2 linked regions of the Stegostoma tigrinum genome follow. The protein of the gene in region 1 interacts with the protein of each later gene in a biochemical or structural test. Links are inferred from orthologs where the notes say so. Each region holds a gene or a part of one and is shown in the gene's direction. Other genes may lie near its edges. The genes, in order: poly [ADP-ribose] polymerase tankyrase-2-like and lnpep.

Region 1 (9,383 bases):
TGTTTAATGGGACTTTTACTTAAAAACCATACAGTCTCTATGCCAGGTGTGCTTGATGGAATTGCTGCAAAGGGAGTTTTTTTTATAACTTAAAATGAGTAGAGAAACTTTCCACTGGATTTTGAAACCCCATTGTCCTTGTCCTGATTGCTTTCGATGGGCCCAGAGCAGAAATCTGATTTCAACTGAGTTGAGCAAAGTATGTTTTATATTTTGGTCTCTTCTTGTCCTAGGAGAAAATAGTGGGGACGGAGTGAAGGGAGAGCCATTTCTCATTTATTTTTGCTTTCCCCATTTTCATTCAACAAAGACAAGAAAGCATGCCTTCTGTTTCAAACGAGTACAGTGTGCTTTAGTCTGTATTCCATTCAATGCTGTCCCTATCCCTGGAACATCTGAAGGAGGCATTTGAAAATGGAATAGTTGGTAGACAGGGTGATGAAGGAGGCATTTGGTACACTTGCCTTCATTGGTCAGAAGATTGAGTATTGGGGTTGGGACATCATGTTGTGGGCTGTACAGAACATTGGTGAGACCACTTCAGAATATTGTGTACAATTCTGGTCGCTCTGCCACAGAAAGGATGTTATTAAACTTAACAGGATGCAGAAAACATTTACAAGGATGTTGCTGGGACGGAGGGTCTGAATCATAGGGAAAGGCTGTACAGACTGGGTTTTTTCCCCGGAGCCTCAAATCTTGAGGAGAATGGATAGAGTGAATTGCCAATGTCTTTTTCCAAGGTTAGGGGAGTCCAAATCTAGAAGGTATAGGTTTAAGGTGAGAGACTGTAAATTTAGAAAGGACTTGTCAGGTAACCTTTTGACACAGAGGATGGCGCATGTATGGAATGCGCTGCCAGAAGAAGAAGGGGAGGTTGGTACAGTTACAACATTTAAAAGGCATCTGAAGGAGTATGTGAACAGGAAGGGTTTAGAGGGATATGGACCAAATGCTGGCAAATGGAGCTTGGTCAGTTTGAGAAGTCTGGTTGGAATGGACGAGTTGGGTGGAAGGGTCTGTCTTTATGCTGTGAGACTCTATGACTATCTGAAATAAAAACAGAAATTGCTGGCACAACTCAGCAGGACTGGCTGAATATGTGCGGAGAAAGCAGAGTTAATGATTCATGTCTGGTGACTCTTCATCAGAACAGCCCTTCTACATAACTCAGTTTGAGGTAAAATAGGGTTAAAATGATCCTGATTAGCTCAAAAAATTCCAGGTTTTTTTCCTCTAAAGTACAATTCAATTCATAGAAAAGTGAGCAATCAATAAACATTACCAAGGAAACAATCACAGACCCGAATATTAGGTTGTCAGAAAAGAAACACTGTGCACGAATACATTTTTGATTTACACACTCAGCATAAGAGACGTCTGTCTAGAAGTACAAAGTCAGAACATGACACCTATCATCGCACAGTTGATATCATCATATGCATTGGAGTGGCCTAAATTTATCATTGTTGCTACGGTACATTTATTTAAAAGGCAGCAATTATTAAAATACATTCTACAGTACAGCAGTGTTTTCTAGTGAAAGCCATTGTTATAACAGAAATAGAGGACCTTCTAGCAAGAAAAATAAAAGTTGTGGAAGGTTTTATTTCAAACCTTATCTTTGAGATTTTTTTTATTGCTTCCTCCTGATGCTGGTCAATTGTGTCAGAGACATTTCCAATAAAATAATGAAAGTACAGTGATTGTAGATTTCTAGTTTAAAGGTTATTTTCTTTCTCTTTTCTTCTGCTTCCTAAGATAATACGTAATGGTTCCATGACTATTGAAAGTCCTTCGCTTCTACATCTGATGGAATACTAATTTCAGGCATTTTGAGATTTTGTGTTAACAGCAAACAACATGCCTGCTGACAGGGCAGGCTCAGAAAACAATCATTATGTGAACAGAGTGCAGGTACTGAGATAACGAATAATCATGCCATAATCAATGCTTGGTTGTACAACCTGAGCCTGGATTTTTGCCAAACTGGACTGATTTGAGAGCTATGTAAATATGGTCGGCAGGATATGATTCTGAGCTTCCTATTTCCATTTCCAGCTGTTTTCATCAACGTGGGACAAGGATGCAGTAGCAATCCTCTGTGTAGAAACACCTCCCCTGATGGCTTCATTGGGTGCCGTTCAACTCCCCAAACACAACTTCGATGAAGTTGGACCCCTCTGGCATATAGACATGGTTCACAACCCTTCAGAGAAATTGTGAACCAGTGGGAACAACAGATTCAAGTAATCAAAACAGAAAAAAAGGGCATTCAATATTTATGTTGAACTATATTGGCCTCTTAACATCTCATATAGCTATAATCAGTCACAGTCCTATCTAGTTTCAAAGTCAGATATTTTTATTTACCCACACCTTTTAATCCTGCATATAAATAATCCTGAATTTAAAAAAAAAGCAGTCGAAATACTCTTCAAAGTCACAGCAGACCCTTAGAAGGTAACAGAAATATCAATCAAGCAACAAATTCCCTTACCTCTGCAGTTGTATAATGCCCTAGGTGCATTAGCCATTGTTAGAACTCAGCCAACTATTCATAATGACATCACCTGCTATATCTCTTTTGTTCATACACTTGTTTATACAGCAGCACACACTATGTTGACTGACATCAGCATCTGCAGTTTTTGGTATCTTCTCATTAGTAAACAGAACTGTTGTTTTGACAAGGGACCATGACTTGTCATTTCACTGTGATCCTGTCTTTCTCACATTGTAACAAGGTTCCCATATGACAATTTTCCTGTAATAATTAGTTACTTCAGTAATCCCTTCACTTGGAATATCTGTATCATATTTGTTCCTTTAATTATAATGTTATTCCATTTTAAAGTTACATTTTTATTATTGTCTCTGACTGCACCTTTCCTTCATTTATTATTGTAAAGTCCCTTTCTCACACTAATTCTCTTTTCTGTTCAGAACAATTCTCAGTGGTACATTACTGCTGTCTCTGTAATGCTGCCAGAACCCTGCAAAATTCCACGCCACCTCACACCACCCTTTTAGGTTATTTTACATTTAATTAGAAAATAAGGGTCACTGTCACTGACTCGGCCAGCATTTACTGTCCATTTCTAACTATTTGGTAACATGCAGGTGGTGCTGTTTCTGTGTATCTGCTGCTCTCAACCTTCTAGATGGTAGTGGTCATGCATTTGCAAAGTGTAATGTGAGGATACTTGATGAGTTGTTATAGTTGCATTGCATCTGTCAATGACACAAACTGCTGCCACCAGTTTCTGGTCAAATGGTAACTCCCACAATGTTGATCATGTGCAATTCAGCAATGGCAATGCCATTGAAGGTCAAAGGTTATGGTTGAATTTTCTCTTGTTAGAAATGGTCATTGGGGCTGTGATGATTGACTGCCAATCACCGCAACTACTTCGCTTTCTGCACCCTTAGTCACATGATTATCTTCCAGCTCTTTCTTGCCCTCTGACAGCTAGTAAATGGCTTGTGTAATATTCCTGAGATCATCACAGTTGAGCCATTGACTTCTAGGTTATCTCCTAACTCCTAATATTCCATCAAGAGAAATTACTCCATTTCTTCCCTGTTATCATTAGATCTGATCATTTCCAGCCACACTGAGATTTCTCCTGCTGAGGTTCTCAATCGTAACCACTGAAGATGCCAACCATCTTTCTAACGAGTGAGTCCTCTAGAAGTACATTTTTCCTATTCTGGTCCTCCTACCTTGCCTCCCTCAAACTGCATCTTGAACACCTTGCTGCTCCATGGTGCCGAAGTCAGCACTGTGACTTCTTTCCCCAAGTCTTTTTGCTTACCCTAACAAATATCAAGTACATTGTACCTGTTGGACAGAACAGTGTCTGCAGGATCTCCTCCTCTATCTCCCCCTAGTTGACCTTACTCTGCTAGCGGTTTTCAATAAGCAATAATCGCACCTTGGTTAAACCCCATTGGCCACAATACTGCCACTGTGCGTAGTGAGATGCTCAAAAACAACAAAAGGAATGCTGGAAGTCTGATACATACACCAAAACTGCTGGAGAAACATCTTCCTGAAGAAGGGTCACTGGACCTAAAATGTTAACTTTGCTTTTTATCTACAGATGCTGCTAGGTCTGCTGAGTTTCTGCAGCAATTTCTACATTTGTAACAGTCTGACTCTCACCTTCTTTTGCACATCAAAGTTGTGATTGTATTCCAGGCAAAAACTAACCAGAAATTCCTACCATCTTATGTATTGAAATATCTTGAAATCAAAGGATTTTGAGTTGTGCATCAAAACAGTGGTGTTTACTGCAAATCTGGCTTTCCGGATCAGTCTCAATATCTACAAACTCTCACATAATGGTTCCAGGGCAGACTGTACTGCACTGTAATTTCCAAGGGGAAGGGAGGGTATTGCTGTAATTTAACTCTTAAGTGAAATCAAATTATTTGTTCACATTACAGTTTGTAGACAGATTTGGCATAATTTCAGGATAATTTGTGACTAATGTGCAAGATATTACATAAAAGCGTGTAATTTCAATTGAGAAATTTTAGGGGGATGATATCACTTCTTAGTGCATGTACATTCAAGTGAGTGTCATAACAGCTTTGTGTTTTAATTAACAATAAAAGAGCTACAACAATAATAGGAACAAAAGAACTGAGCATGCTCTGAAGATCTGAAATAAAAACAAAGGAAAGACCCCATTGGTCCAGCAGCATCTGTGGAAATATGAAACAGGGCTAATGTTTGAATACAATATGACTCTTTAACGTTGCCCAATACTTTTATCAAGATCATGGCTTTCAAAAAGTAACTGAATCTCACGATTACGGCGTAGGAGGAAGGTGATCATTTGGCTCATCGTGTCTGCACCTGTTCTCTGAATGAGTGTTACGACAATGTGCCATCCTCCTCCATGTTAATTCCCCATACCCTTGAATATTCCAGTTAACTAACCATCAGTTGTAGGCAGAGCTTTAGGACCATGGAGCAACCTCACAATGATGTCACGGAGTTGCTTCCTACAACGGTATAAACAGCACAGTACGGGTGGAATTTAAGATAGGAGTAGATAGGCGGGAAAAAAAACATAAGAACTAGGAGCAGGCAACCCAGCGCCTTGAGCCTGCTTTGCTATTTGATATGATCATGGCTGATCATAGAAGATCATTAGAGTTTAACGAACAGTTGCTTAACAAAAAGGTGAGAACCTGGTATATCTTTCCGGAAATGGTTGTGCATGGTATTATCAAAGGATGAAGGCTCGTAAAGAGTTAACTTTGCTTCCCTCCACCTGCCTATCTACGAACTGCAATCTCAGGTGTGCCCTTAAAATCATAGGTCGGGATATCGTTTTTGAATAAGGCTACCTTCAGAAACCAATTACGATTCACTTGCTTTCTACTTCTGAGAAGGAACGGGAACTCTTACCTGAACATAATAACTTGCTGTCCCCTCCATCCGAGAGATGGTAAAACTGCACATGCGTCTTTCCTTAGCAGTCGCCGGCTATGCTCACGTGACGCTGGCCGTTGCTTGCGCGCGGGACAAAAGGCTGGGGGGGAGCTCGAGCTGCTCCTGCTGATGGTTTGTGGTGGGGGGTGGGGCGCAGAACATCACGTCTCCCTTTACCTGCTTCCATGGCGTCTCGTCGCTGCCCCGGAGTGGCAGGTTCCTCTTCCTCCAGCTCGGGGGAGCATCGATCGACTTCGATATCAGCTCATCCTGACCCGACCAGAGTGCTGTTCGAGAGTTGCAGGAACGGGGATGTGGTCCGGGTGAGGAGACTGCTAAGGGCTGACAATGTGAACGCCAGGGACACGGCAGGGCGCAAGTCGACCCCTTTGCATTTTGCTGCGGGTAAGTTAAAACCGTGCTCTGCACCCCTCCCTCCGCAGCACGGTATGGCGGCCTCGGTCGAGGCCCGTATTCATTTGCTGAAACGTGAAGTTGCTATTTTCTTTTATTTTCCGTTTGCTTTCTTTTTTGCACGTCGATCAGATATTGTCTGTTTGTGTGGATTCGCCCCAAGTCCGCAAGTGAACTTGGTGCAGAAGTTTCAAAATGTAATTTTTTGTGGATGTTGATTTGCGACTGTTCATCATTCCGCCATTCATACCACTTGCAAAATTTTTGTTTTTTGCTTCATTACCACTCTATTAAGCCAGTCATACTGCAGGTAGGGGATGATTGACCACCAGACAGTCCCAAGACAACTAGACAGGTAATACAGCAGTCCCAAGATCCCACACAAGAACCTGCTTTCTATTCCGGATACAATATCAAAAATACATAACCAGAAAGGGCTGCAATCCCTTGGTGTTCCGAGATAATAAAATGTGAGGCTGGATGAACACAGCAGGCCAAGCAGCATCTCAGGAGCACAAAAGCTGACGTTTCGGGCCTAGACCCTTCATCAGAGAGGGGGCTGGGGAGAGGGAACTGGAATAAATAGGGAGAGAGGGGGAGGCGGACCGAAGATGGAGAGTAAAGAAGATAGGTGGAGAGAGTATAGGTGGGGAGGTAGGGAGGGGATAGGTCAGTCCAGGGAAGACGGACAGGTCAAGGAGGTGGGATGAGGTTAGTAGGTAGATGGGGGTGTGGCTTGGGGTGGGAGGAAGGGATGGGTGAGAGGAAGAACCGGTTGGGGAGGCAGAGACAGGTTGGACTGGTTTTGGGATGCAGTGGGTGGGCGGACAGAGCTGGGCTGGCTGTGTGGTGCAGTGGGGGGAGGGGACGAACTGGGCTGGTTTAGGGATGCAGTAGGGGAAGGGGAGATTTTGAAACTGGTGAAGTCCACATTGATACCATATGGCTGCAGGGTTCCCAGGCGGAATATGAGTTGCTGTTCCTGCAACCGTCGGGTGGCATCATTGTGGCAGTGCAGGAGGCCCATGATGGACATGTCATCTAGAGAATGGGAGGGGGAGTGGAAATGGTTTGCGACTGGGAGGTGCAGTTGTTTGTTGCGAACTGAGCGGAGGTGTTCTGCAAAGCGGTCCCCAAGCCTCCGCTTGGTTTCCCCAATGTAGAGGAAGCTGCACCGGGTACAGTGGATGCAGTATACCACATTGGCAGATGTGCAGGTGAACCTCTGCTTAATGTGGAATGTCATCTTGGAGCCTGGGATAGGGGTGAGGGAGGAGGTGTGGGGGCAAGTGTAGCATTTCCTGCGGTTGCAGGGGAAGGTGCCGGGTGTGGTGGGGTTGGAGGGCAGTGTGGAGCGAACAAGGGAGTCACGGAGAGAGTGGTCTCTCCGGAAAGCAGACAGGGGTGGGGATGGAAAAATGTCTATGGTGGTGGGGTCGGATTGTAAATGGCGGAAGTGTCGGAGGATGATGCGTTGTATCTGGAGGTTGGTAGGGTGGTTTGTGAGAACGAGGGGGATCCTCTTAGGGCGGTTGTGGCGGGGGCGGGGTGTGAGGGATGTGTTGCGGGAAATACGGGAGACGCGGTCAAGGGCGTTCTCGATCACTGTGGGGGGAAAGTTGCGGTCCTTAAAGAACTTGGACATCTGGGATGTGCGGGAGTGGAATGTCTTATTGTGGGAGCAGATGCGGCGGAGGCGGAGGAATTGGGAATAGGGGATGGAATTTTTGCAGTAGGGTGGGTGGGAGGAGGTGTATTCTAGGTAGCTGTGGGAGTCGGTGGGCTTGAAATGGACATCAGTTACAAGCTGGTTGCCTGAGATGGAGACTGAGATATCCAGGAAGGTGAGGGATGTGCTAGAGATGGCCCAGGTGAACTGAAGGTTGGGGTGGAAGGTGTTGGTGAAGTGGATGAACTGTTCGAGCTCCTCTGGGGAGCAAGAGGCGGCACCGATACAGTCATCAATGTACCGGAGGAAGAGGTGGGGTTTGGGGCCTGTGTAGGCACGGAAGAGGGACTGTTCCACGTAACCTACAAAGAGGCAGGCATAGCTGGGGCCCATGCGGGTGCCCATGACCACCCCCTTAGTCTGTAGGAAGTGGGAGGAGTCAAAAGAGAAGTTGTTGAGTGTGAGGACAAGTTCAGCTAGGCGGATGAGAGTGTCGGTGGAGGGGGACTGGTCGGGCCTGTGGGACAGGAAGAAGCGGAGGGCCTTGAGGCCATCTCCATGCGGAATGCAGGTGTACAGGGACTGGACGTCCATGGTGAATATGAGGTGTTCGGGGCCAGGGAATTGGAAGTCCTGGAGGAGGTGGAGGGCGTGGGTGGTGTCACGGACGTAGGTGGGGAGTTCCTGGACCAAAGGGGAGAAAATGGAGTCCAGAAAGGTGGAGATGAGTTCGGTGGGGCAGGAGCAGGCTGAGACGATGGGTCGACCAGGGCAGGCAGGTTTGTGGATTTTGGGAAGGAGATAGAAACGGGCCGTGCCGGGTTGGGGAACAATGAGGTTGGAGGCTGTGGGTGGGAGGTCCCCTGAGGTGATGAGGTCGTGAATGGTGTTGGAGATGATGGTTTGGTGCTCGGGTGTGGGGTCATGATCGAGGGGGCGGTAGGAAGTGGTGTCGGAGAGTTGGCGTCTGGCCTCGGCGATGTAGAGGTCAGTGCGCCATACTACCACTGCGCCACCTTTGTCTGCGGGTTTGATGGTGAGTTTGGGGTTGGAGCGGAGGGCTGCCCGTTCTGCGGGGGAGAGGTTGGAGTGGGTGAGAGGGGTGGAGAGGTTGAGGCGGTTAATGTCTCGACGGCAGTTGGAGATGAAGAGGTCGAGGGAGGGTAGGAGGCCTGGGGGTGGTGTCCAGGAGGAGGACTTGTGTTGGAAGCGGGTGAAGGGGTCAGTGGAAGGAGGGTTAGGTTCCCGGTTGAAGAAGTAGGCATGGAGGCGAAGACGGCGGAAAAACTGCTCTATGTCCAACCGTGACTGGTATTCGTTGATGTGTGGTTGTAGGGGGACAAAGGTGAGCCCCTTACTAAGGACTGACCGTTCGTCCTCAGTCAGTGGGAGGTCTGGGGGGATGGTGAAGATGCGGCAGGGCTCAGTGTGGCTGTCTTCTCTGGGGTTGCTGGCTGTGGAGGTTGTGGGCGGAGCGATGAGGCCGTCGGCCGTGGGCGGATCGGGGTGGGCGGCAGCAGCTGCGGTGTGGGCGGGGTTCCGTCGGCCGTTGGAGGATCGGGGTGGGCGGCAGCAGCTGCGGTGAGGGTGGTGTTGGTGTTCCGGTAGTCTGTGATGGCTGGCTGCTCATTACAATGTGTAAAAGTGCAGTACCTGATGCAGTGTGTAGTTCTCCACATTATGGGGCCTCAATCCCACTGCATACATAAAAGGATGAAGAATGGGAAATGATAGATTACCAGAGGAGAAAATCAATTAAGTGTGAAACTGGGGAGGTATTTAATAGGATCATCAGATGACAGAGAATTTCAGATACCCTGTCTGAGAATTGTTTTGTATAACAGTGCATTA
Region 2 (8,964 bases), on another chromosome or scaffold:
TTTTGTGATTGATGTTTGTGGATTCTCAAATCTCTCTATGCTGCAGCTTTCTGCAGTCTTTCACCATTTAAATAATGTTCAACTCCTCTATTCTTCCTTTCAAAGTGTATAACCTCACAAACTCCAACATTTTTTAACTTATTCATTTTGTGGGATGTGGCTGAGGCTGGCGGGCCAGCATTTCTGGTCCATTCCTAGTTGGCCTTGAGAAGGTGATGGTGAGCTGCCTTCTCGAACCGCTGCAGTCGTCCTGCTGTGGGTTGACCCACAGTGCTATGAGGGAGAGAATTCCAGGATTTTGACCCAGCGCTAGTAAAGAAGTGCCAAAAGATTTCCCAGTCAGAATGGTGAGTGGCTTGGAGGGGGTGGTGTTCCCATATACCTGCTGCCCTTGATTTTCTAGATGGGTTGTTGTCGATTCAGATGGTGCAGTCTGGGCATCTTTAAATTTCTGCATTGTATCTTGTAGATAGTCACATGCTGCAGCTACTAAGTGTTGGTGGTGGAGGGAGTGGATGTTTGTGGATACAGTGCCAATCAAGCGGGCTGATTTGTCCTAAGTGGTTTCAAACTTCTTGAGCATTGTTGGGGCTGCACTCATCCAGGCAAGTTGGGATTATTCCATCACACTCCTGACTTGTGCCTTATTGATGGTGGACAGGCTTTCAGGAGTCAGAAGGTGAGTTACTCGCCTCAGCATGTGGTACAGCCAATTTTTCATCATAAACTGCTTTGTATTTTTTGAGGAATCTCACTTTATGTCTCTGTCGGTCTGTCTCCAGATATGAAAATACAGTGTCTAAATTCTCTAATATCTCCAAATGTATTAATCTCATAGGAGAAAGTTCTTTTTGCAATTTCTCCAATTCTCTTTGGCTCTTCTTATTTCTTCCTCTACTGCACTTGGTACTTCACACTTCTGTACATTCTCATTGCCTTCTCTACTGGTGTCATTTTAACATCTTCATATGATAATCGATTTTTTCCCTATGATCTGGAGTATCAATTTAATATGTTATGTCACTAATCCTTTTAATTATTTCATAGGGACGATTGAATTTTGCTTTAAATGACTAACTTTGCAAAGTCAATGGTACCAAAATTTCATCTCCTGCTTTAAAAATTATGGTTGTCATGTGTTTATCCTTCCACTCTTGCATCCTGTTTTGGAAAGTTTTCCAATGTTCCCATGAAACTCTACATGATCTGATGACCTTCTGAGAAATGTGGGCACATGCTCATTCCTTTGTAAGTACATGTACCAGTTTAGCACAGTTGTCTCCAACCCAAACTTCTCACTCACAAACTGAATGTTAAATTTTACCATGTTCATAGTCACTGTTCCTTAGGAAATAGTCTACTCTCAGATCATTAAAACCTACCTCTTTTAGCTTTAGAAATGTAAAGTTCACTTTTTAGCATGAAGTATCTTCCTGTTTGTTTCATTCCATTTTTGATTTATCCACACTTTATTGTTTGACATTCCTGATTCTGAACTCTTTCTTCCTAACAACTTGCTGCCTTGCAAAGTATCTGAAAATGAAAACATTCGAGTATGGAAGACATGCGTTAGAATATTAGTATGAGAAGTCTATGGTTGGTAATATTGGTGACTGTAATTCCGAATCCGGTCTTTTTGAGACTTTCTTGGAGAACTTTACAAATTATGTAAAACATACAAGAGCACTTGTATAATACATTTGATTACTGCAAGATTTGCCTTTTAATAATTTTGACTCTGATGCACGATGTGGTGTTCAGCGGTGTAGAACAAAGAAGATCGAGGGTTCATGAATATGCTGCAAATCTTTTGATGTAAAACAGCCAGGAATTATAGATCGCCAGTGAAGTCAGGCAAGGTCAGAGTGAAGCTTCATATTTTGTGTAGTTGGGTAAATTCATAGCTAACCACTATGAAACAGCAACATGCAAACAGCCGGAGCAACCCAAATAAAAGCGAGGTTGGGGAAGAACCAACAAGCTCCCCGCAGTCAACATGTTTGAATCACAATAGCTAGAAAGGCTGGCGCAGAGTGTAGCTCCCAACAGCAGGACCGTGTTTACTTCGACAGATTACAACAAATAGAAAACCGCGTCTGCAAACCACAGGTCGCTCTGCAGTATGTAGCTCGTCGATCGACCTACAGCGCCTGGAGGAGGAACAGCTTGCAAGTGCAGAAGAGGAAGGAAATACAAGTTAAGATGGTCGACATCTGGCTGTCTTTCTTAAACTGTGAGATTTGCAAAGATGACCACATAAGGAAGAGTTGCCTGGTCGTTCAGGAGGCCTTGTACATTTAAAAATGTCCTCAAGGAAAGAGTAGGTGACATTTCAGCTGGCCCAGTCAGGATGTATTTATTGCTGTAGTCAGTAGGTGTTGTAGTACGGGCGGCTTGTTTATATCGTTGCCACAGTCTCCAATACTGCGTGCCTGGGTTTGCTGAGAAGGATCGGGATTAAGAGCGGAAGGCCACAGGCACAGCCATGGAGCCAGGTTTTCAGAGCGGTGAGTACACCAGGCTCAGTGTTGTCTGCCGATTTGTGACATCGTCTTTGTATCAATAGGTGGGTAAGAAATGTCACAAAGTTAGTAGCAAACTGTTGGGCGAAGGACCCCATGGAAATATTTGAAAGGGCAGACAAACATGCATCATCCAGTCTCAAAGCTGATACTGTGAAATCTAATTTTGCTTTTCAATTGGGGAACACAGGCAATTCATTTTGATGCTCGACTCGGGCATTGATCTGTCTGTTTATTTTTCCACCGTACGTGAAGTCTGTTTAACGCCCTCATTTCACGTTCTTTTAGGGACAAGCTGATGCACGTAGATAAATCACTCCATTCCCACTTTCCTGACTGGTTCCAACCTTTCCCTTAACCGCCATCCCACGCTTTCCCTTTCAATGGGAGTTTACCTCCAACCTCTGGAACAAACGGGATTTCTTGGAGCCGGGGTGGTTCACGTCTACAGTTACACACAGGTGTAATAAATGTAGGGCAGAAATCTGTTCAGAAAGTCACTTCATGTAGGTGGTTTTTGACCTGCAGACATTAACTGAAAGACTCCTTTGTTACAGACTTGAACTTTTTTTTGCAAGTTCTTTCTATCTTCTTGTATTCCATATCTGTTATTGCTGGGACGGCTCTTTTATGGTGGTATTTTATAATGCAACCGCCTGCTTCTGTGGAAGGTTTCATAAACGTTATTTCCAATGCTGTTTAAAACTAACTCCTGCTTCTCGTTTTACGTCTTTCTGCCAGCCGTTCCGAATCATAACTACGATTGACCATTCATGTTGCAAAACATTCTCCATTTCTGACTTGCAAGTCTTGCGAGTCTGCATTTGTGTATAGTAAAGGGAAATTTAAATTTTGGCCATAATTAACCTTATAAAATCCCATGGAAAAACTGCAAGTTACAAAGAGTTTGTATTTGTGGAAGCTCTTAAAATGAGTTTGGATATCATCCCAACCATTTATTCTGTGATTTGAATGACGGAAGCAATAGCTCACAATTATACAATATGTAAATTTTGCTGACAATATTGCAACTAAATGAAGACTTTCAATTTGATCTTTTCACGACTAAATCGAGCAATAACAGTATTAGAAGTCTAATGCAATAATTTTCACGTGATTTAAGAAAAGCTGATTTTTCAGTTCGCAACAGTTCCTTTCATTTGTGATTCCTTATTCAAAATGATGGCTTATGAGTTCAGATGGCATTGTGTTTGGAGGGAGGACAGTTTGCTTGCACTATTTATGATTGATGGGCCGCACCCTCGCTATGAAAGCAGCTGTCGTGCTTATCCAAGTCCCAAAGTGTGCAATATTCCTGTCTACTTGTGGTCATGAATTGTAAGTTTTCACGATAGTTTTTTTTTCAATTTAAAAATTCAAATTCTTAAAACTTTGAACAAGAATTATAAAACTTGTAGTAGAAAATTAATAGAATCCATAAGTAATGCACCTTGGTGTAGTTTCCGTTCGTGTACATTGGTGCAACATCCAGTCTGCTCAGCCAAGCTCCAGCAAATTGCATGATTGAAGTGTGAGAAGAGGATCTTACTGGAAGCTGAAGAAACACAATCTGGTAAAATGTTGGCCTCTTTTTTGACTTCGTATCTGGCAGTCCCCTAGCCTTAGATGTATCGTACATTCCTATTTTTGTCACACTTGCACCTGATTGGCTCACATTTTATCTCCCTTAAACAGCCAACTGACGGTGCGTAAACACCAAATGTGAATGGTGTCTGATGCCATCATTTCTGTCCAGGACTGAGGATGGGTGGAAGCAATGAATCGAACACATAAAATCTAATAATGACAGAAGCAAGTCAGATCAATAAAATTACTGCAAAATAATCTCTTGAAAAATCTTTCAGCTCCTGTGTTTTGTTTGTCGTTATTCAGTATGTAAACTTCAGGTTTCACCTACAATAAAAGAATATTTTAAACAATATTCCTGCTTTTAGCTAAATTTAAGTTTGCTGATTTGCACTGTTTCAGTCCTGCAACAGCTTTTTGTTTAAAATTCTCCTCATTTTTGATCCGTCTGTGGTCTTGCTCTTTATTTCTGTGTTGTGCTTGAAGGTCAATTTGTGCCTTAGAAGATGTTAATTTGTGCTTTGTGGCTTCATCTATTATATACATAAACTGATGATATGGGTACAATATTGAGATGATTTTGTTTCCAGCTATTTTGGGGTTTTCTTACCGTGCTATTTGTTTATTTTTAGGTTTCCTATTCATGTGTGCTGTTACTGATTTGTCAACATCTATTGTTGCCCTTTCTTCAGTTTTGTATGCGCAACTACTGATTTGCATTGTGTATGAGTCTGGAAACAATTTTTGTTTTGTAAGTCCGTGAACATTGTATTGTGTATGTTGTTTAACAAACAGATGTGTTTTTAATGGCCAGTATGATTGATCAAGTATTGACCATCTCTGAACTTGGCATTTAAACCTTACGTCTTGTCTCCAGGCAGAGAAAAGCCGAGAGAACTAACTACAAAGGAAATTTTGTTTTAGAAATGGTGAATATGATTTGCATTTGGATAAAAATGCTGTAACAAGATGAAAAACCCAATTATTCTTGATGACTTGGCTAAAAAGAAATTAAACGGACATGCATGAATATAAATTGAGATCTTGCCCGCATTCCTGCTGCTTTGGTATACTGCCATTGTTTGATTATTAACATACATTTAAATTACTTTGTAAATTCTTTTTATCTTGTTTGCCAGCATTCAAAAATCTGATTGTCTTTGAATTAATATTGCTGCCAATGGCATGTTTTAAGAGCACATTTATTTGGGGGAGTGTGCTTTAATGATGAACTTGTGAGAAGGCTGAAGTTATTGCCTACAGTCCATGCCACAACGTTTTTTTTCCCCCCTAACTTCTGACTCTATCCCTCTCATTTACAACTGCCTAAAATTGAACCAACCACACCTTTCAACCTTGGTGTGACATTTAACCCCAGGGTAAGCTTCTGATCACATATCTACATCCTCACAAAAATTAAGATTTACTATGCCTACCTGCATAATTGCCCAAATCCACAACTCTGCAGATGTCAAATGGCTGTCTTTTCAAAGCCTCGTCCAGAGGACCGGAGGACAGCTAATGCTCGAATATGCCCAAGAGGGTGCAGAGAAAATTTACAAGAAGGCTAGAGATTTTCACTTATCAAGAAAGATTGGATAGACAGAGATGACAAGGTGTGGACCTGGATGAACGCAGCAGGCTAGACAGCATCAGAGTAGCAGGAAAGCTGACATTTCGGGTCTGGACCCTTTAGAAGAAGGGTGTTACCTTGTTATCTCAGACTCCAGCAATGGCAGTTCCTACTATCTTGGATGGACAGGGGTTGTTTTCCTTAGAGCCCAGGAGATTCAGAGGAAACATAAATTATGAGAGGCTAAGGCAGAAAAAACCGGAAGAAACCTTTCCCTTTGATGGAGGGATCAGTGACCAGGGGTTATGGATTTATGGTAAGATTTAGAGGAGATGCGAGGAAAAGCATTTTCACCCAGAGAGTGGTGAGCATATGCAACTTGCAGCCTATAAAGGCAGTAGAGCAGAACTGCTCATAATATTTAAGAAGTATTTAGGTGTGCAGTTGTGAAGCCAAGGCACACCAGGCTATGAGCCAAGTGCTGGAAAACAGAATTAGAATAGTTAGATGGTTGTTTTTGACTGGCACAGACTCGATGAGCTGAAGGGTCTTTTTCCATGCTGTAGATCTCTATGACTCTGTGATTCATTTCTGTTTTTTATTACCTTTTAAAGTAGACTATTCCAACACATTCTTAGGTTAGCCTCTCATCTTCCATTCTCTGTAAACTCCAGGTCATTCTGTGTTCTCTTTTGCATGTGTCTTGATGTACAATAAGCCCTGCTCACCTATCACAGCTGTGCTATTTGTTGACATTGGCACCCAGTTAGGCAATGCCTTAATTTTTAAATTTTAATCTTATTCTCAAATCTCACCTTCATTGTCTTTCTCATTGTAACCTCTTCCAATGACAAGCCCTCAATTTCTCCAGTTGTTGCTTTTTGTTAATGCAAATTTTAACCCTCCACCATTAGTGACTGCTTTCAGTCTCTCTTGGCCCTAAGTTTTCTCTCCTTTGCTTTGTTTTTGTTCCTTCTCTGCTTTTGGGTGGCAACTGTTCATGATCATGTCAATCATGCTTCTAGACATATGCTTTGTTTCTTTTTGTTTTGACTTGTCTCACCACTAGTCATGGCCTTACACCATGAGCCTCTTTATTATTCAATCTCTCTCACACTCCACCCTGTTGCAGACCTCACCTTTCGTTCATTGCGTTCCACCGTCATGTTAATTTCCTCAAAAAATGTTACATTTCTAACATTGCCCAATTCTGATGAAAAATCACAGACTTAGGAAAGAAAATCCTACACTTTTCTGCTTAATCTTTAAGGTGCTTTTTAAACATTTCTCTTCATTAAGCTTTTCACCTAAGACCTTCTTTATATGGCTGTCACTTTTGTTGTGATAATGCTCCAGTGAAGCACCTTAGGATATCTGCTACAGTAAGGCTGCTTGAAGATCAAATTTGTTTGGTGTCTTTAGGAATGCGTTGTTACCGTTCAATTGTATAAATTATTTGAAGATGCTGCTGGCTAAAAAAATCATGAAGTAAATGTGCAATATATTGATTAAATTTAATCCAGCCAAGTGAATGGGAATTATTTGATATGGCATTGATCGCGTCCATTTATTAGTCTATTTTTCATTGATTTCTGCAAGGTTTGCAGCCTGGGTTTCACTTCTGTGATTTAATAAACCTACTGACACTGGTCTTTCAAATTCTTCAGCTGTGTGTGATTCATTGCTAATGCAAGTGTATTAGCTTGGTTTCTGAGCCACTTAAAGAACAGTGCACAAAATGTCGGCAAATATTCCTGTTTGGTACAAAGTACAACATTGTCGCAAGATTTCACCCTTTTAAATGCAATTTCAAGCCGTGACGAAATGCGTATTTCAGTTGTTTAGATTGCTATTCAGAACAGAGCAGGCCAAGCAGCATCTTAGGAGCGGGGAAGCTGATGTTTCGGGCCTAGACCCTTCGGTGTAGGCCCAAAATGTCAGCTTTCCTGCTCCTTAGATGCTGCTTGGCCTGCTGTGTTCATCCATCTCCACACCTTGTTATAACTTAGGGGATCATTGGTGGAACTTCAGGAAATTGAAATCATCAGGAGTAAAAAATGCATTGAATAAAATTGACGGATTAACTCCATCAAACCCCCAGGATCTGATGGTCTTTTTCCTAGTTCTCAAAGAGGATGTTTCAGAAATAATGGATACACAGTATTATTCTGCAAAATTTCCTAGATTATAGTACAGTTCTTATGGATGAGTGACTGTAAATATGGTATCTCAGTTGAAGGAAGGAGAGAAGAGAAAAAACAGAGAACTACAGACCAATTAGCCAATTGGGATTTAAGAATAGAATTATCAAAAGATTATTTAGAGACCATTGATGACCTGTCCCCTTTGGTGGTATGAACAGCTTAGTGTCCATATCTAAGCAAGGCTGCATTGCCTTGGAAGTCGGGCAGTGGAAATTCATGGGGTTAGTTCACTTGATTAGTCTCTGGGATGAAAGTATTATCCTGTGATAGTTGAATAAGTTTGGTGAATATGCTGAGAAGTTTAAAAGTATGAATGGTGATATCATGGAAACACACAAGTTGCTGAGGGGAGTTGGCTTACTGAGAGGTTGTTTCCTTTGGCTAAGAAGTTTAGAACATTGGGAAAGCGCCGACAATCAGTTAATCAGTTTGGACAAAGATTAGGACAAAATGCACTCAAATGGTTGCCATTTTTTGGAAGTGTCTACTTCGAAGATTGTGGATTATCCACTTTAAACATACTCAATAATGAGATAATTACATTACTGATCATTTCAGGAATTAAGGAAAGTGACAAGCGGGCAGGAAAATGGAATTGAGACAGAGGTCAGCCAGAATTGCATTGAAAGCAGGAAAGCACACATGGCCTTATGTTTTTAGAGAGAAAAATGGGGAAGATTTGGGGGAAAAAAACTCTTGTATTGATCATAAAATCTGACTTGACAATTTGGACACACTTAGCCCTTTCTTAGCCGTGCAATTCTAAGACTAGCAGCAAGATTGTAAAAGGTTAAACTTGGCTCTGCCACAATTTGTGTAGTTGACAGCTTCAAAATAAATTAACCTGCCATTGTCCTTTTATCTCTCAAATATTGTATACTAATTTTGACATTATATTATGCAGATTTTATTTTGAACCTCCAATATCCATTTGCGAACCTTGCATTGATGAGTCTCTCTTCCTGTCCTTTCATACCCTTCCCCCACTGTAGCATAAGTTAGGCAGTGCAAAGACTCAACTGAACAGACAGAATTTACTTTCTGGATTGTAATTATTAAAATATGTTGGGTGAATATC

What was found.
Region 2: the proteins of poly [ADP-ribose] polymerase tankyrase-2-like (region 1) and lnpep form a complex in vitro, tested with the Homo sapiens proteins (4 studies listed by BioGRID and IntAct, with this or other methods). The link is inferred for Stegostoma tigrinum from reciprocal best matches to the Homo sapiens genes TNKS2 and LNPEP.

Annotation. Positions count from the first base shown.
Region 1 is NC_081373.1:43,618,609-43,627,991, reverse strand, and holds the start of poly [ADP-ribose] polymerase tankyrase-2-like, read left to right. Parts: upstream 1-5,510; 5' UTR 5,511-5,634; coding exon 5,635-5,854; intron 5,855-9,383. UniProt on the Homo sapiens protein: Poly-ADP-ribosyltransferase involved in various processes such as Wnt signaling pathway, telomere length and vesicle trafficking.
Region 2 is NC_081356.1:87,374,129-87,383,092, reverse strand, and holds the start of lnpep (leucyl-cystinyl aminopeptidase), read left to right. Parts: upstream 1-5,299; 5' UTR 5,300-5,841; coding exon 5,842-5,998; intron 5,999-8,964. UniProt on the Homo sapiens protein: Release of an N-terminal amino acid, cleaves before cysteine, leucine as well as other amino acids. Degrades peptide hormones such as oxytocin, vasopressin and angiotensin III, and plays a role in maintaining homeostasis during pregnancy.